Cricetulus griseus: one gene and its partners. The protein of the gene in region 1 binds, or shares a complex with, the protein of each later gene. Links are inferred from orthologs where the notes say so. Each region holds a gene or a part of one and is shown in the gene's direction. Other genes may lie near its edges. The genes, in order: Eif3d, Eif3e, Eif3j and Eif3g.

The links.
Region 2: Eif3d (region 1) and Eif3e share a complex: the UniProt entries of both Homo sapiens proteins name them as parts of the eukaryotic translation initiation factor 3 (eIF-3) complex. The link is inferred for Cricetulus griseus from reciprocal best matches to the Homo sapiens genes EIF3D and EIF3E.
Region 3: Eif3d (region 1) and Eif3j share a complex: the UniProt entries of both Homo sapiens proteins name them as parts of the eukaryotic translation initiation factor 3 (eIF-3) complex. The link is inferred for Cricetulus griseus from reciprocal best matches to the Homo sapiens genes EIF3D and EIF3J.
Region 4: Eif3d (region 1) and Eif3g share a complex: the UniProt entries of both Homo sapiens proteins name them as parts of the eukaryotic translation initiation factor 3 (eIF-3) complex. The link is inferred for Cricetulus griseus from reciprocal best matches to the Homo sapiens genes EIF3D and EIF3G.

Annotation. Positions count from the first base shown.
Region 1 is NC_048595.1:375,063,416-375,067,962, reverse strand, and holds part of Eif3d (eukaryotic translation initiation factor 3 subunit D), read left to right. Parts: intron 1-468; coding exon 469-605; intron 606-1,122; coding exon 1,123-1,208; intron 1,209-1,532; coding exon 1,533-1,605; intron 1,606-2,896; coding exon 2,897-3,009; intron 3,010-3,614; coding exon 3,615-3,747; intron 3,748-4,443; coding exon 4,444-4,547. UniProt on the Homo sapiens protein: mRNA cap-binding component of the eukaryotic translation initiation factor 3 (eIF-3) complex, a complex required for several steps in the initiation of protein synthesis of a specialized repertoire of mRNAs.
Region 2 is NC_048603.1:9,462,971-9,467,517, forward strand, and holds part of Eif3e (eukaryotic translation initiation factor 3 subunit E), read left to right. Parts: intron 1-1,068; coding exon 1,069-1,186; intron 1,187-3,998; coding exon 3,999-4,041; intron 4,042-4,547. UniProt on the Homo sapiens protein: Component of the eukaryotic translation initiation factor 3 (eIF-3) complex, which is required for several steps in the initiation of protein synthesis.
Region 3 is NC_048599.1:56,398,892-56,403,438, reverse strand, and holds part of Eif3j (eukaryotic translation initiation factor 3 subunit J), read left to right. Parts: intron 1-1,020; coding exon 1,021-1,075; intron 1,076-1,416; coding exon 1,417-1,508; intron 1,509-4,547. UniProt on the Homo sapiens protein: Component of the eukaryotic translation initiation factor 3 (eIF-3) complex, which is required for several steps in the initiation of protein synthesis.
Region 4 is NC_048597.1:133,767,610-133,772,810, reverse strand, and holds the start of Eif3g (eukaryotic translation initiation factor 3 subunit G), read left to right. Parts: upstream 1-1,741; 5' UTR 1,742-1,832; coding exon 1,833-1,852; intron 1,853-1,968; coding exon 1,969-2,015; intron 2,016-2,207; coding exon 2,208-2,291; intron 2,292-2,395; coding exon 2,396-2,484; intron 2,485-2,606; coding exon 2,607-2,666; intron 2,667-4,616; coding exon 4,617-4,721; intron 4,722-4,812; coding exon 4,813-5,002; intron 5,003-5,201. UniProt on the Homo sapiens protein: RNA-binding component of the eukaryotic translation initiation factor 3 (eIF-3) complex, which is required for several steps in the initiation of protein synthesis.

The DNA of each region.
Region 1 (4,547 bases):
TTGGAAACAGAGCGCAGAAAGTGCTTTTCTTGGTGCCAGTTAGATGGTTGGAAGTAACTTCGGGAATACTAAGTTAAGGTGGATGAGGTCAGAAAGAAAGTTTATCATGGTCGATGATAGTGTCCATGGCTCCTGTGATGGCAATGGTGGTACACTCCAGATTCTTAATTGTCCAAGGCAGAGGTGAAGTGGGTTAACTTGAGATGCTTGGGCTCTCTTGGTAAGTTCTTTAGACTCAAGCTCTTAAAACTTAAATGTGTGTATGAATCACCTGGGATCATGTTTAAATACAGGTTCCCATCTGTCAGGTCTGGACAGGGGCAGTAAGTCTGCACACCTCACAAGCTCTTGGCTGTGGTCCCCAAAAGTGCTGCAGGTCCCAAAACCACGCTTGAGAGAGCAAGGCTCAAGACTGCCATGTGTAGCCTTTAGGGAGCACTTAGCACACACTGTCACCTTTGCCTGCAGACAAGTACTCCTCTCAGTTTGGTGGGGGAAGTCAGTATGCATATTTCCATGAGGAGGATGAGACGAGCTTCCAGCTAGTGGACACGGCGCGCACACAGAAGACTGCCTACCAGCGGAACCGGATGAGATTCGCACAGGTAGGCCACGGGCTGGCAGCCTAAAGTGCCTTGGAGGAGCTCTTACTGTGAGAATTTCTGCTGCTTAGCAACTGTCTTGGAAACACCAATGAGACAGGAAATTGCAGGCCTCTGTCCAATCCCAAGTGGCCATTCAGTGACTGGGTTTTAACAGAATAACTTTTCCAAGGATGTTTTGAAGGACTTTAGATTTCTGTTTACAGTAGGTCAGACATCACACAGCTGTGCTAGGAACCTATTTTCTCACTTAATTGCAACATACAGGCTTTGTTAATTAGATGGTTTGGTTGGGTACTACATTAAGATGCAAACTTAGCAACTCCAGTAAAACCAGTAAACCTACATTAGTGGAAATGAGTCCAAGCTAACACAAGTGCTTCTCCCCAAATACTGTGGAAGCTATAGAGTAAAAGAACAGAGATGAGAAACTGGGGACTTCACACCCTAGATTTGCTCTCAAGATACCAATAAGCTATGACTCTTAAGAGGGTAACACGGGTCTCTTCCTGCTTCCAAGCGGAACCTCCGTAGAGACAAAGATCGCCGGAACATGGTGCAGTTCAACCTACAGACCCTGCCCAAGAGTGCCAAGCAGAAAGAGAGGTAAGCGTCCCTTCCTGCCAGGTCAAAGCTGTGTTCCCAAATGGACTGTATTCAGAAGTCAAGGAGCCAGGACAGGGATTGGCTGTCTTTCACTATTGGAAAAGAAACCACACCCTAGCCAGGATTGCCAGTAACTGGGCTGAATGCACCCCTACATTTGGTTCTGGGGGGTAGTGTGCCTCTGCTCTCACCCTAGTGTGTGCCAGCATGGTCTCTTCATCCCTAAGCCAGCATTTTCTTTCCTGGTAGCAGCCAGGAAAGATACTTCAATTCAACTAGAAGAAGCTACTGAAAACACAGCATTCTTTCTGTCTGTCTTTTCAGAGAACGAATTCGCTTGCAGAAAAAATTCCAGAAGCAATTTGGAGTGAGACAGAAATGGGACCAGAAGTCACAGGTAGTGTGTCCATACCAGAATTCTGTTAGGAATTGGGTGGGTTTGCTTTCTTTTTATCCTTAGAGATAGCAGCCATGAAGTGCAGTTATGTGGTCTCTAGTGTATGGTTACTGTGGACAGCTTTAGACCTTCATCCCTCTTACAAAGAAACCTTGTGCCCGAAGGCATGTCCTGTCCTCCCTAGTCCTAGCCAGCACTGCTCTTTGCTGACTGTGAATTTCCCTGATGTGTGCATTTCATGTAAACAAAATCAAAATCTGTGCCCTTTGTTTAGCATGGCATTTTTGGTTTTTCAAGACAGAGTTTCTCTGTATAGCTTTGGAGCCTGTCCTGGAACTGGCTCTTGTAGACCAGGCTAGTCTCGAACTCAGAGATCTGCCTCCCGAGTGCTGGGATTAAAGGCAAGTGCCACCACCACCCAGCTAGTGTGATATTTTTAAGGTATATGCCCTGTTGCAGCCTGTACTAGTGCAGTCTTTTCATTTTTTCCTTCTTCTCTGTTAAGGATTGTTTCCGGGTGCCCTCAAAGAAGCCAAGATTTCTTTTGCATAAAATGGTGTAGCATTTGCAACTATCATATGTGCATCTCCTCATGGACCTTAACTCACCTCGGGTTATTTATATGGGTTGAAAGTATCACTTTTAATCTCAAGTGGTCCTCCTGCCTCAGCCCCCCAGTAGGACTTTCAGCATGCTGAATACCTGGAATATTTTCAGTTCACACATGACCCTGGGATACAGAACCCACAAGTATAAAACCTGCAGATATGGAAAACCAGCTGTACTTCTTATTGCCAAATAGCATTTCTATGTATAGATTGCCACATTTCCTTCAGCCATTCACCTTTCCCCTTTGCACTGTTAGGGAATAATTACCACCTTTGTAAAAGCTATGAGAATAGCAGGCATGAGCAACAGTGGAGTTTGGGCTAGGAGTATAGCCTAGCAGTGAACTGGCTGCCTTGCCACAAAAACATGGATTCATTCCCCAGTGCTGCGAAGGGGAAATGATGTTAAGACATTACACTTTGGTGAAAATTTGGTGCTTGTTGTGTCAAAAATACGTAATTAATACCCTGAGAGTTCCCATGTTTTGTCCCTGATCCCTTCAATGAGCTTCTACAAGTCACAGATGCTGTCTAAAAAAAAAAAACAAAGCCAGGACCACATAGCCTCAATCCCAGCACTCAGGAGTTCAAGGCCAGCCTGGTCTACAGAGTGAGTTCCAAGACAGCCAGTACTACACAGAGAAACCTTAGGTTATGAATATCTTAACCTGTTTTATCTGCAGAAACCCCGAGACTCTTCAGTTGAAGTTCGCAGTGACTGGGAGGTGAAGGAGGAGATGGATTTTCCTCAACTGATGAAAATGCGCTACTTGGAAGTGTCGGAGCCTCAAGACATGTGAGTAGCTTCTTCACTGCTGCCCACCGCACTCGGGCATATGGACCAGCTGGGGTCTATGTCTCCTTAAGCCCTAGCAACTCCAAAGCAGATTTGTCCCAGTTTCTCTCCACCCTTGGTATCTGCACAGAAGCACAGTAGGTCAGTCTCTGAGCACTTTGGGCTAAAGTAGCATGACAGACCTTCAGGAAGCTTCATATTGTGCATCCTCGTACACAGAGCAGGGGTGAGGCACTAAGGCAGTGGGGAGCTGGAGGACCACCCACCAAGGTGCCTGTAACTGACTGTTCCCAGGGGAGGGTGGCTAAAGGGGAAGGCGTGTTTCCCTGTGTTCTGGAGCTGGGACAGGAAAACAGCTGGCAGTGAAGATTTGCCTCCTTTCCGAGGAGATTGATTCCATCCCTTTCATACGTATTAGACTTCTGGGTAAAGTTTCTTTCTGGGACAAAGCACTCATGTAGCTGGGTCAGCTCTCCTTCGTCTGCCTCCCTGATGCTGGGATTACAGTTGTGTACCGCTGTATTTAGTAGATAAGACTTGTGATTCACGGCATAAGAGAGGAGTGGGGAGGATCTCTCTGGCTTCCCGTTCCCCTCTTCCCTCAGCGAGTGCTGTGGCGCACTGGAGTACTATGACAAAGCCTTTGACCGCATCACCACGCGGAGCGAGAAGCCTCTGCGGAGCATCAAGCGCATCTTCCACACCGTTACCACCACAGACGACCCTGTCATCCGGAAGGTGTGCACCCTTTGCCCATTTTTAGGAATGTTGCTGAGGCCCAGAAAGAACAGGGTGTGAGATATGGACATGTCCCCTCAGTAGTCACGGGGTTGATTCAGGACCACCCCATGAATACCAAAACTCATGGGTGCTTCTTTATGACTGATGTGGACTGTCAGTCCTGGCAATCTTCCATGTTTCAGATCTTTCTGGATTGCTCAGGACGCCTAAGACATAAGCAGTTGTTATTCTGTTGTTTGGGGAACTTGACAGAAAGAGCATGTGCATGTTGATTAGACATGGTCTTTTTTGTTCTCCTGAACATTTGGTGAATTGACTGGTGAAGACTTCACAGAAACAGCTGACTGTGTACATAGTCCAGCCCTTAGATAAAATTATTCTGGATCAGACTTAGAATTTGATGGAAGCGGAGACTTGTTGCTGGGTGGATATAAATGTGGTAAGCCAAAGCATGCTCAGACCCCAGCTTTGCCAGGCAGACCGTATCGCACTAGAGTTTTAGCTTTCTCACCTGCAAAGACAGAAACTAGAAACTAGTGAGCTGAGTGTGGTGTATGCTTCCACAACAGTGACGGAGCAGCCATGCCAGCCAGTTTGCTTCAGCCTTCTTGGGTGACTGGGGAAGTCTTTTCCCTCCCTGGTGACCTCAGCATCCTCACTTCACTTTCTCTCTCCCTCTCTGCCTCCTTGCAGCTGGCAAAAACGCAGGGCAATGTGTTTGCCACTGATGCCATCCTAGCCACACTGATGAGCTGCACACGCTCTGTGTACTCCTGGGACATTGTAGTGCAGAGAGT
Region 2 (4,547 bases), on another chromosome or scaffold:
AGATTTTGATAGCAGGTTCTCATTTTTTTTTTTTTTTTGTGCATGAACTTGGTAGCTGTTTTGCTTTTGGTTTTGAATGTGTCTTGAGCAGAGGTTTATAGAGAAATGCTGGGGGGGGGGCAGTGAGTTCATGTTGGGCCAGACAGGTGGCTCCTATGGGAAAGCATTTGCTGCAAATGCCCCCTGACCTCAGTTTGCTCCCCAGAACCCACAATAAGAGAACCAACCCTGCACTCACACCGATAATCCCCATCATTCATACTGAAAATAATTATAAATAAAGTAAAATTTGGAATAAAACAAGTATCCGGGTGTGGAGAAGAAAACACTGCTGTAGGAAGAGCACTATAGAATGAAGACATTGTTAAAGTCAATATAACTTTCTTTAGTTTATAGGCAGTAACTATTTAAATTTAGTTCGTGATGGGAGTGAAGGGTCTTTTTTTAAATTTTATGTGTATGATGTTTGACTGCTTGTATGTTGGTACACCATGTGTGTGCCTGGTATCCCAGAAGATCTAAAGAGAGCTTCACGTCCCCTGTGACTGTACTAAGAGATGGTTGTGAGCTGCCATGTGGCTGCTGGGGATCAAACTGAGATCCTCTGCAAGAGGAACGAGTGCTCTTACCCGCAGAGCTGTGTCTCCAGCCCCGAGATTGTCCTCTTTATCACAGCTTCCTAAGTGTCGAGAAGTACAAACGCATGCCACCACAACTCTAATGACTGCTAGTCTCTGAGAATTAATCTGAGATGCAGGTTATGTGTGAGTTTTCTCTTTATTCTGGGGATAGTATAGTAAACGGGATCTGTAAAGTTAGGGTTGTGGAATTACAGCTTGTTGATATTAAAAAAGATTCTTGACTAGATTAAATTCCATTCCACCTAGTAATAACATGTAAAGCCATTAGTGTGTTGCCTTTGTTCTAGCGTGAAGGTGTTGAGTTGGTGGTTCCTGGCGTGTGAATGAAGGGATAACTAAGTGTGTGGTTGGAATTAAGAGAAACTAATTTCTCTAGACAGTCTCGTGGAGTGGTGGGTAACGTTCTCTTACTCGTGTTTCTCACTAGCTTTGAGAGAAAAAAGAACCACAGTTGTTGCACAACTGAAACAGCTCCAGGCAGAAACGGAACCAATTGTGAAGATGTTTGAAGACCCAGAAACTACAAGGCAGATGCAGTCAACCAGGTAATCTGTGAACTTGAATCCTAGAAGTTCTCTTCCTGGATTCATATACAGGTGAAACTAGGTCCCTGTAGTAAAAGTTCACGATCTAAGTGAGTGCCTTGTTTGTTTGTTTCCATTTGTCTTTTGTTTTGTTTTGTTTTGTTTTGTTTTTCGAGACAGGGTTTCTCTGTGTAGCTTTGGAGCCTATCCTGGCACTCGCTCTGGAGACCAGGCTGGCCTCGAACTCACAGAGATCCGCCTGCCTCTGCCTCCCGAGTGCTGGGATTAAAGGCGTGTGCCACCAACGCCCGGCTTCATTTGTCTTTATTTTTTAAGGGGCGGGTATTTCATAACAATAAGTGTTAATTGTAACTTATTTTCTTGTGTGTACAGTGCTTTGTCTGCAAGTGTGTGTGTGTGAGTATATGCCTAGTGTGCTTGGGGGTGGGTCCGAAGAGGGGTAAGACCCCTGGGAACTGGAGGGAAGGTGGTTGTGAGCCCCCAGTAGACTGGGAATTGAGCACAGGTCCTCTGCGAGAGCAATAGGTGCCCTTAGCAGCCGAGCCACTTCTCCAGCCCCAATACTAAATTTTTTAAAGAAACTTTTTAAACCAGTTGTTGATGCCTTAGCGTGCCCTGACAGTTGAGTGTGCCCTGGCCCTTCTTAGGGGGCATTTGGTACTGTCTGGAGACTTTGAGCCTCACACTGGAGGGCAAGTGTAGAGGTCAGGATGCTAAGCTTGTTGTGCTCAGGACCTGCCTTTCCCGAACTCCTTCCTAGAGTCAGCCAGCTCAGTGTTAGGGAGAAAGCCCTGCTCCTGCTGGGGGCCTAGAGTGCTTGGGTTGCTTTCTGAGGGAGAACCCTGAGCTCACTTAGCACTTACACTCTCTTACATCTTTCAGTGTCTGTACTCATCCCAGCTAAGATTATTTATTTCTAATTTTCTTTCTGCTAGAAACACTTTCTTGTCTGCTTTCCAAATGAGGCATGTTGCCTTAACCTTGCTTAACACTTTGAAGCCTTTGGAGTTATTACAAGTATTTCAAAGTAAAATGTACTAAACCTGAACGTTATTGCTGTAATATGTCTTAGCTACCAGTGCATTCACTTGAGAAATTCTTAGTGACTTTGCCGTGCTGTTGGATTCTAGAACACATGATCTAACCAAATTTGTAAGTGATTTTGTGTAACCTGATAGTGTTAGAAACCCTGCACACATTACAGTTCTTCTGACATGCTGTAATATGCTGTGTGCCCTGCCTCTTCACACTGCACGCATGTGTGGAGATACTTACAAATGCACAGGTAAAAGCTGTGGTCAAAGAGAAAGCTCCTTTAATGCGCGTGCATCTCCACTGTTAGTTCACTTGTAAGAGTACAAAGTAATTCTAGCTGTTGAGGCCTCACGTCAGTATGCAGGGAGTGAAGGTTGACGTAATCCAGATGTTAGGCGAGAACAGACATTTTAGGATGTACTAGGCATGTGAAGATTGGGAATGGGAACTAGAGAGATGGCTTAAGAGTAAGGAGCATGTCCTGCTGCCGAGGGCCGGGCCTTAGTTTCCAGCCCCAGTTCTGGTGACTCAACTGCGGCGGGTAAGTCCAGCTCCGGGGGCTGTGCCTCTGGCCTCTGTAGGCACCTCCAGACATGTGCCCGATCCGCACACATATAGACACATGTGCACATAATTAAAATAAATATCCAAAGGAAAGATTGGAGACAATGAAATGAAGAGTAGAACTCGTGTGTAATGTGTTCACCACAGAGTAGACAGACAGTGCCTTCCATAATGGAATGGGCACTGCTGATCAGTTGTTAACTTGGCACAAGCTTGACTCATCTGGGAAAGGGAACTTCAGTTGAGGAATCGCCTCCATCAGATTGGCCTGTAGCCATATTTGTGGGGCATTTTCTAGATTAGTGATTTTTCTGGGGGTGGGGCGGGGCAGTGTTACCCCTGGGCAGGTTCTCCTGAGTTGTAAAAGAAAGCAAACTGAGCAAGCCAGTTGGGCCTCTAGGTTGCTGCCTTGAATTCCTGCCCTGACTCTCTCCTCTGTGACGGGTTGGGAAGTTTAAGCCAGGTGAACCCTTTCCTCCACGGGCTGCGTTGCTTCAGCATGTGTCATCACAGCGCTGGAAAAGTAGTAGACTAAGGCAGGAACTTAGCTGAGAGCAAACGAAGGACTCAACTGTTAGAAATTTGTCATCTAATAGACTTAATAATGGTATTTTTCTATCAGTCTCATTAAGTCTTTGTTGATCATATAGTGTTTTTCTTGTACTCGATCAGAAAGTGAGCCAGAGGACAGTGAAAGTTGGAATTTTGTACACTTGGTATTCAGTAATTTAATGCTGTCAAGAACTCCCAAAGTGTGCCACAGGCCACAGCACATTCCCACACGTGGTGAAGCCCGAGAAAACACTTTTGTTTTGAAGATGTGAAGATAAGCGTTGACTTTTGATTCGTTCTTGAGTGGGCTCCCTGTTACACTCGTCTTTTACTGGTCTGTCTGGATCTGCAGTTAATGCAGAACTAATTGAAGAAAGGTTAGGTTGGGCTATTTAGCAGCGTGATATGACTAATAATTGTGGAAGTTTGTGACATAGGTACCATCCAAATTTGATCTTCAGTCAGAGCTTAAGAAATCTGAAAGTAAAATTTAAGTTTGTGTTTATTCTTATATCAACATTTGACATGGACTATTGTGTTTCTGTTTAAGTATTAAGAGGTTTAAAGTGACTTGTTAGATGATAACTTAGAAGTTAGAGCTGCACATTTTGTGTTCTGCAGACTATAAACCATAATAATGCTCACTTTTTCCTATATTAAGGGATGGTCGGATGTTATTTGACTACCTAGCAGACAAGCATGGGGTAAGTATATTTTTTAAATATTAAAAAAATGGTCATTTTTTTAAAAAAGGTCTTTAGAGATTAATGCTGTACACAAATTCATAGTTTGCCATAAGAATATAATACTTATATTAATTTAATAAATAACAATTGGTATGTTTTTAATAGTTTTGTAAGCATTGGTGATGATGGGAAATTTTTGTTTATAATCCTCTTGATAACATCCTCTCAGTGTTTGCCTTATGTGGCTCATCATATAATAGTAACTCTTTATTTTCTCTCTTCCTGCCTGAGGCAGGGTCTTGCTATGTAGGCCAGACTATCCCCAAATTTCGTTGAGCCTCCTGCTTCTGTTTTCTGGGTCTAGGATTACTTGCACTTGCCACCGTGTTGAACTCGGGATTCTTTTTCTGAGTAGCTTTAAGAGTAAAGACTGAACTAGAGTTGAATTAAAAATGCTTTCTTTGCATAGTAGGAGAGCATTGTGACTGCCTTAGAGAGTGCAGTAGCTCTTGACATTTTCATGA
Region 3 (4,547 bases), on another chromosome or scaffold:
GAGGCAGAGGCATGTAGATCTCTGTGTTGGAGGCCAGCATGGAATATGTAGTGAAACCCTGTCTCAAAAGTACACTCTGTTGTTTTCAGGCTATGTGGTATGGGTTGTATAGTATATCACTTATTCAGAAGCTTGGGGCCACAAGTATTTCCTTCCATTTAGGGACTTTTTTTCCTTCAGATTTTGAGGAGTATATGTGTACACATAATGGTATGGGACCCAAGTAAACATGAAATTTTTTTGTTTTAAATATACTTTACACACATAGCTGGAAGGTAATTTTACACACTATTTTAAGCATTTGTTCTATTTGACTAAAGATCTATCAATGGATCATATGTGGAATTTTATTATTTTTTGGTAGTACTGGGGATTGAATTTTATGCATACTAGGCAAGCATTTACCATATTCCCTAGCTTCCTATTGTTTTTACTTAATTTTGAAACAGGATTTCTTACTTTGTAGAGGCAGGCCTTAAACATTGATCTACCCTACCTCTCAGGTCGCTGGGATTACATTCAGATTTGTGGTCTAGGCCCAGTTGTAAGTGTGGAATATTCTTGTGGCAACATGTTGGTACTCAAAAATCTTTGGAATTTTGGAACATTGAAGATATTTGGATTAGAAAACTTTAAAGAATTGATGATGAACCTAACTTAAGTGTCCTCCCAAATTACTAATGTTCAAAGCCCAATAGCGTTTGCTATATACAAATACCTAATTATAAAGCATGATGAGGGCAAGGGAAACCTATAAAAGCAACAGAATTTAAAAATTTATAGGAATTTACAGAATACTAGGAACAACCACAAAATGAAACGTGTAAAACTTCTTACACTCCTGAGATACAAAAGTAGACTTAAAATGGGAAGATAACCCTAGACAAAGGGCCTTACTGTTATAAAGGCTATAATACCAAAAAGTACCAACAAGCTTGTTTGTGCATATTTAGGTTAACCATAGATATCACATAGGAAAGAAAACATGTAAGAATTACTAATGGAGGTTCTTGTCTTCAGGATAACTGGGATGATGATGATGATGAAAATAAAGAGGAAGCTGAAGTAAAACCAGGTGAGTCACTGATATTCATTCCTTCATTGTTTTAAACCAGATGCCCCTCTATACTTTTTCTTTAAGTACCTGCTGGTTTTCTGTTGGAGAAAAGTGTAGGTGTAGGAGATAGAAAGTAGAGGAAATGGTTATTTGAATGATCTTCCCTTGTCTATTTGCATCTCCCGGGGTGAGATTTGAAATGAAAAGGAAGAGTACTAAAACTTTATCATTTCCAGAATATGTGACTCTGAAAGCTAGGGAAGGTTTCGTCTCTTCAGGTGTTCAATCAAGCATCATGTCTGCCGTAGCCATAGACTAGAAAGTGTTCAATATAATCGTAAATAAAATATTTCTTTCAGAAGTAAAGATTTCAGAAAAGAAAAAAATAGCAGAAAAGATAAAAGAGAAAGAACGGCAGCAGAAGAAAAGGCAAGAAGAAATTAGAAAGAGGGTAAGTTCTATCACTTTCCTTAAAATGTATACAGAATTCATAATGTGTCGGTTGTGGTACAGTGTGTGCCGTCTCCCCCCCACCCCACCCCCGCAAAACAGGGTTTCTCTGTGGCTTTGGAGCCTGTCCTGGCACTCACTGTGGATACCAGACTGGCCTTGAACTCACAGAGGTCTGCCTGCCTCTGCCTATCTACCTATCGAGTGCTGGGATTAAAGGCATGTGCCACCAACGCCCAGCTGTGGTACAGTGTCTTAACTGGCTGCAAATATTACATAGCAATTTGAAGGGCTCTGTAAAGACAAAATGGATATACTGTAAGATAGGTGAATCCCAGAAAAAAAATTGATTTGTAGTTTGCGAACCCAGAAGTCTTATATCTGAAAATATTTTCAGTTTCATCATAACAGTTAGATTGGGCAGTGACCACCCTTAATGGTTTTTTTGTTTTTGTTTTTTTCTTTTCTTTCTTTCTTTTTTTTAAATTTTTTTATTTTTTTTATTATTTTTTTTTGCTAGAACCTGCAGTTTTGTTTTTTTTCTTTCAGTGCTGGGATTGAATTCAGGGCCTCATGCATGTAAGTGATCCCTCTACCACTGAGCTATATGCCTAGCCCACCTGTGGCTATTTCTAATCAGTTATACACAGTGAACACAGCAAACAAATGTTTGTCATGCCCTAAAGTGGTTTATTCTTGATTATTTTGTAGCAGGATCCAGCAATATTGCTGTATTTATTTTAATAGGAAACATTTTCATAATTCAAATATAAAAATTATTACAAAACACTCCTAACCCCTTAGTTACTTATTCTGTCTCCACTATCCCACATCTCATGTAAACACTTGTCCCTTATCTGTCCAAGATACTTTTTTTTTTTTTTTTTTTTTTTTTTTTTTTTTTTTTTTTTTGGTTTTTGAGATTGGATTTCTTTGTGTAACAGCTCTAGCTGTCCTAGAACTCACTTTGGTTGACGCCAACTCACAGAGATCCACCTACCCCTGCCTTCTGAATGCTGGGATTACAGGTGTGTGCCACTACTGCTTGGTTTGTCCAAGATATCTTTATATTTCTGTATGTATTATCCCTGCCTCTTTGTGATAGTCTTTAGCTGTATAACCTAGGGTGACCTAGAACTTGGTTTCCCATTGCCCCCACTTTTCAAATGCTGAGATTACAGACATCACTAACTGGCTGTCCTTTTTTGTGTAGTTTCCACTTTTATTTACTGTAGAGATCTTTTCCATACACAGTGTGGAAAAAACTCTAATATTTTTCCTCACTTTTTTTCCTTTTTGTTTTTTTGAGCATTCTCTCCCCTCCCTCCCTCTCTCTCTCTCTCTCCCCTCTCCCCCCACTCCCCCTGGGTTTCTCTGTCTTGCTTTGGAGCCTGTCCTGGAACTTGCTCTGTAGACCAACTGCCTCTGCCTCCCGAGTGCTAGGATTAAAGATGTATGCCACCAATGCCCGGAGAGCATGCTTTCTCTATGTAGACTTTTCTGTCCTGGAAGTCACTCTGTAGACCAGGTTGGCCTCTGCTTTCTGAGTGCAGGGATTAAAGGCATGGGCTATCATTCCCTGGCCTTCTTTACTTTTTGTTAAGAAAAATCCTCAAATATGAAAGTAGGAAAATAATCAGGCATGGTGTTGCACTCCTGAAATCCCAGTACTCTGGAAGTCTGAATTACATTTGTAATTTGTAATAGCTTGGCTTGTATTGTAAGGCCTGGGCTCATAAAGCCAGATCTGGTGGTATTCATACTTATAATCCTGGCACTTAGGAGACAGAAGGAGGAGGATTTCGAAAAGTTGGATGCTAGCCTGGTCTACATAGCAGTTCTAGGCGAACCAGGGTTACATTGAGTGTGAGACTGTTTCAAAAACAAGTAATACATATCACTTAATACTGTTAATGTGTTGCCAGATTTCATTTATTTTTGCTTTGCTTAATATAACTAATATACATTTTACCTTTAAACCCTGAGAAGGGATTTTTTTTTTCATGATTGCATAAATACCTGATATTTAGAAACAGGTATATATGTGTGTATTTATACATGTATAAATACATACATACATAAGGTTGTTTTACTGCTGTAAGAAAGAGATGTAGCATGAGATTATTGGTAGAGTGCTTACCTATGTGGGAGGTGCTATGGTTCAGTCAGTCCCCAGTATTGCTCTTTTGCGGGAGGGGATTACAGGGGAGACCATGTCTGTGTGTAGCCTTCGCTGTTCTGGGACTTGCTCTGTAACTCAGGCTGCCTGAAGTGCTGGTAGTAAAGGTGTGTGCCACTATGCCCGACTCTGCCAAAAAATTTTAATAATTTTACTTTGTTTTTGTTTTGTTTTTTTGAGACCGGGTTTCTCAGTAGCTATGAAGTCAGTCCTGGAATTCACTCTGTAGACCAGGCTGGCCTCAAAGTCATTCGCTTGCCTCTGCCTCCCAAGTGCTGGGACTAAAGGTGTGTGCTACCACCACCGCCTGTGTAATTCTTCCTTTTTGAATAAACTGGTAAGGTTTTTGTAATTTGTGTTTTACTCAAATACAGTAGTTTATTTGAGAATTATATACTTGCATACATTTAATATTTATGTGTTTAAATCAAACCCCTAGTTCCTCCCTTCCCTTCTTTCCCATTACTCTCCCTCCCAACTTCATAAGCTGTTTTTAACAACTCAGAGTCTACTTAGTGCTGCCAGTATATAGATGGGTATAGGACCATCTACAAAACCCTGTGTTCAATCCTTAGCACTTCATCAAACAATGTGTGGCACATGCCTATAACCCCATTGCTTGGGAGATGGAAGCAGGGGATAAGGAGTTCAAGTCATCCTAAGTTACATACTGAGTTTGAGGCAAGTCCTAGGGAGTTGGGGAAGCTGTCTGTCTGTGTGTTTGTTCACAGCACCCTCCACTACCATATATGGTACACACATACATGAATGAACAACTATATGAAGATAAAAACTTTGAAGTTTCAAGCAGGGTATAGTTCTGCATGCCTATAATTCCAATGGGAGGGTTGAGTTTGAGGA
Region 4 (5,201 bases), on another chromosome or scaffold:
CGTGCATGCCTGGCACCTGTGGATGAGGTCATTGGATCCCTGGGACTAGAGCTATGGACAGTTGTGAGCTGCCATTTGGGTGCTGAGAATGGAACCCAGGTCTGCTGGAAGTGCAGCCAGTGCCTTTAACCACTGAGTCAATGCTGTCCACTTAAATTTTGTTTTTAGAATTTTCCCATTTGTAGACAGGTGATGGTGGCTTATGTCCCTAATCCCAGCACTAGTGAGGCAGAGGCAGGCAGATCTCTGTGAATTTGAGGCCAGCCTGGTCTACAGAGCAAGCTCCAGGAGAGTCTCCAAAGCTACACAGAGAAACCTTGTCTTGAAAAAACAAAACAAAAACAAAAACAAAGCAAAGGCCATTTGTCTGGATTTTGCATTTCTCTAGTAAATTTTTTGTTTTGTTTTTGTTTGGTTGGTTTTGTTTTTCAAGACAGGGTTTCTCTGTAGCCCTGGCTGTCATGCACTTACTTTGTAGACCAGGTTGGTCTCAAACTCAGAGACCCACCTGTCTCTGCCTCCACAAGTGCTGGGATTAAAGGTATGCACTCCTGCACACGCACGCGCGCGCGCGCGCATACACACACACACACACACACACACACACACACACACACACGGCTCCATAATACAAATTCTACGTGCTGGAAATATAGGTCATCACAAGTGCGCCCAGCGTGTGCTTTCCATCTGCACTAGCAACCCAAACTAAGAAAGAACTTCTTGGAATGCATGTTCCCAGAGGCTGAGAATCAAGTAAAGGAAGATTATACCAGAGTTCTAGGGGGTGTAGCTCTGAGGAAGGAGAAAAGCTTAGTATGGGAAATAGTTTAAGATGACACTGGTAGGAACCCATTTCACATAGAGGAATATTCCCTGAGCCTAGACACACGGGGGAGGGCCTACGTCCTATCCCAAAGGATATGACAAACTGATGACCCCCCCCTATGGAAGGCCTCACCCTCCCTGGGGAGCAGAAAGGGCATGGGATAGGTAGGGTGTTACTTGGGGGAGGGAGGCAGAGGAGGAGGGGAGGGAGAGGGAACTGGGATTAACATGTAAAACAATGTTGTTGCTTTCTTCCTTTTTTTTGGGGGGGGGTTCGAGACAGGGTTTCTCTGTGTAGCTTTGGAGCCTGTCCTGGCATTCGCTCTGGAGACCAGGCTGACCTCGAACTCAGAGATCTGTGCCTCTGCCTTCCGAGTGCTGGGATTAAAGGCGTGTGTCACCAACGCCCGGCCTTTTTTGGTGTTTTTTATTTTTGTTTTGTTTTGTTGACAATGTTGTTTCTAATTCAAATAAAAAACGGAGGAAAAAAAAAAGATGACACCGGTAGAACTTGCAAGATGTCTTTGCAGCTAAGAAGGCTGACTGCCAAGCCTGAAGACCTGGGCTCAGTCCACAAGAGAATAAACTGGGGAGATTGCTATGAGTGCAAACCCAGCCTTCGGTACATCAGTGCGTGGTGCTCATGCCTATAATTTCAGCCCTTCGGAGGTTGAGGCAGGAGGATTGTCGGGAATTGCTGGTTATCCTAGCTACAGAGTGATACAGTGACTTCTAATCCCATCACTCCCCCCCAAAAAAACAATAAATTAAGTGGGTGCGGAGAGTTTAAGAAGTTCTGGACGGTCTCTCTGGGACCTCCTTCCAGCTTGGGTCCCCGTACTTCGCTGCACACGAGAGTCGCGTGTCCGCCTTCGTCCATAGGGAGGCGCTGTGCTCGCCGCGGTCTGGCCGCTCTAGGCTGCAGGGGCGGCACCGGAAGCCTCGTTCTCCCCGGGCTTCCGCTCTCTACCCGGGCTGGGAGCTGCGTGGAGCTAGACTTCGCGATGCCGACGGGCGACTTTGAGTGAGGACGGGGCGGTGGCGGGCTCTCCAGAGAGGCGGTGTGGGGCAGCGCTGGGTGTGTGGTGATCCGGGCGGCGCGGGGGTCGGGACCCGCTCACCCTTCTCGTGTCTCCGCAGCTCGAAGCCCAGCTGGGCCGACCAGGTGGAAGAGGAGGGCGAGGACGGTGAGTGCGCGTGTGCGTGTGAGTGAGTGCGTGAGTGCGTGCGTGTGAGTGCCTGTGCGCGGCCCTCCGCGCCCTGTCCCGGGGCGGGCCGAGCCCCCGGAGTCCCCAAACCCACCCACACCTTGGCCTGGACGTCCCAGCCGTGTGTTTCACTTTCCGTCCCCCCCGCCGCCCCCGCATTGCCTCTGACAGACAAGTGTGTCACCAGCGAGCTCCTGAAGGGAATCCCTCTGCCCACCGGGGACACCAGTCCAGAGCCGGAGCTACTGCCCGGAGGTGAGCCCCGTCCAGCCCTGCCGTCCCCTCCCCCTTCCGGCCCTCGAGCCCGTTCCCAGCAAGTCCCCGTTATCCAGGACTCAGTTCCTGTTGTCTTCCCACAGAGCCACTGCCACCTCCCAAGGAAGTCATCAACGGGAACGTAAAGACTGTGACCGAGTACAAGGTAGATGAAGATGGCAAGAAGTTCAAGGTGAGGCCGAGGTGGCCGCGGGGGCGCTTGGATTGGCGATGAGGGCTGTGAGTGTTGGTTTGGATTGGTGAGGAAGGAAGGCCTTGAGGTTCTGGAAGTCCTTTCTCCCTTTCCATCTTCAGATTGTCAGGACCTTCAGGATTGAGACCCGGAAGGCATCGAAGGCTGTGGCCAGGAGGAAGGTGAGGCCCTCCCATCTGACTCACTTTGGTGTGTGTATGCGGAGGGGTCTCCAGGACTGGCCCAGAGGAGTTGGGAAGTCCTTTCCTGTTGATGTAGAATTAAAAATTTAGTGTCAGGCCCTGGAAATTCAGGGTCCAGGAGTAGTTGAGGTTAGATTTTTTTCCCCCCTTTTGTGTGCTCCTGTGTACAGTGTCATTCCTCCAGCAAATTCCTCTTGCATTGAGATGGGCTTTTGTCATCAGGAATTAGATTTGACTAGCTGGCCACCTATCCCCAGTGAGCCTGTTGTCTCTACCTTTGGAGATAACAATCACATGCTTCTGTGCCCAGCTTTTCATTGTGGGTGCTTGGGATTGGACTTTGATGGGTACTTTTGTGACAAATAATTTGCTAACTGGGACATATCCATCCTCTTGAGTTTTTTGTTTTGTTGTTATTTTTATTTATTTTTTGGTTTTTCGAGACAGGGTTTCTCTGTGTAGCTTTGGAGCCTATCCTGGCACTCGCTCTGGAGACCAGGCTGGCCTCAAACTCAGAGATCCGCCTGCCTCTGCCTCCTGAGTGCTGGGATTAAAGGCGTATGCTACCAACGCCCAGCCTTAATTTATTTATTTTTAAAGATTGATTTATTTGTTTATTATGTATACAGTGTTCTGCCTGCATGTCAGAAGAGGGAACCAAATCTCATTACAGATGGTTGTGAGCCACTATGTGGTTCCTGGGAATTGAACTCAGATCTCTGGAAGAGCACTCAGTGCTCTTAACCTCTGAGCCATCTCTCCAGCCCCATTTGTTGTTATTTTTGAGAGGCTCTTGCTGTGTAGTATTCAGATTCTAAATGCTTCTGCCTAGCCTCCTGGGTCCTGACTTAGATTCTTACTCCTTTGCTCTGTCTACTTGAAGGAACAAGCAGCCTCTACTGAGCAAGGGGCAAGGGCTTCTGGAGGAAGGACATCAACACATTGAGAGCAAGGCTCCATGCCAGGCATTTAGCAAGACATGGCTTCCCAACCTCTAGATCAGGCTAGGGAGGCAGGGAGCTTTGTGGTCCCATTTAACTAGCTTAAGGTTCCTGTGATCTGAGTGACTCTTGGACATCCTCCAGCTTCCTCCCTGGTGGGAGCCCGCCCTGCACCTGCCTAGAAACTTCAGTGGCACAGTTGTGTGCCATTCTACTCTGAGTCTCCTTGCTGTTTCCTGGAGTTTTTTTTTTGCTTCTCTCCTTATGGGGTGTGTGTGGGGGGGGGTAGGTGTGTGGGTGTGTCTCGGGGTCATGAATGGCTGTATATTCACACTCAGACTAGAGGAGGAGATTGGGTGACTTGCTCTGTCATGTCACTTTACAACTTATTCTCTTTAGATAGGGTCCCCTGCCCCTGGGCTATATTTAACTCTTTGGTTTGTTTGTTTTTTGTTTTTCAAGACAGGGTTTCTCTGTGTAGCTATGGAGGCTGTCTTGGCACTGGCTCTGGAGACCAGGCTGACCTTGAACTCACATAGATCTGCCTGCCTCTGCCTCCCAAGTGCTGGGATTAAAAATGTGTGCCGCTACCACCTGGCTCATACTTTCTATATGAGAGTTTTGGGTTCTTTCATGTACAATAACCGGTTTTACACACGGAACCACCTCACCAACACCCTCCCCCCTTCTCCCCCACTCCTTTGTTTTGGCCTCATACAGCAGAGCTCAGGCTGGTTTTGAACTTGTGTATCTCAGGGTGACCTTGAGCTCGGAATCTTCTGTTTCCACCTTTAAGTGTCAGGGTAACAGTTACATTCCACCAAGCCTAGCTTAGGAAATGAGAATTGTCACCATTATCACATGGGAGGCCTCTGGGGACACGAGAATGTAGGATTTAAGGCTCTGACGGGGTTGTCTGTCTGGGGTACCCCACTCTGCTATCTTACTGCCTTTGTCCCCATTTTTCCCTATTCTTCTGGGAACCCAGAATTGGAAGAAGTTTGGCTACTCTGAGTTTGACCCACCGGGGCCCAATGTGGCCACCACCACAGTCAGCGATGATGTCTCCATGACATTCATCACTAGCAAAGAGGTGAGCAGGGTGAAGCTGGAGACCCAGAAGTGCAGTGGGGGTGGGGTGGACAGCGGCCGGCTCTGAGCCACTCTTCCCTATTCCCCACTAGGACCTAAACTGCCAGGAGGAGGAAGACCCAATGAACAAGCTCAAGGGCCAGAAGATTGTGTCCTGCCGCATTTGCAAGGGCGACCATTGGACCACCCGCTGCCCTTACAAGGACACACTGGGGCCCATGCAGAAGGAACTGGCTGAGCAACTGGGCCTGTCTACTGGGGAAAAGGAGAAGCTTCCGGGAGGTATGGGCCTAGGGCATGGGAGGGGCCTCAACACTTTTTTTTTTTTCCGAGATAGGGTTTCTCTGTGTAGCTTTGGAGCCTATCCTGGCACTTGCTCTGGAGACCAGGCTGGCCTTGAACTCGCAGAGATCCGCCTGCCTCTGCCTCCTGACTGCTGCGATTAAAGGCGTGTGCACCACCAACGCCTGGCTAACTTTGT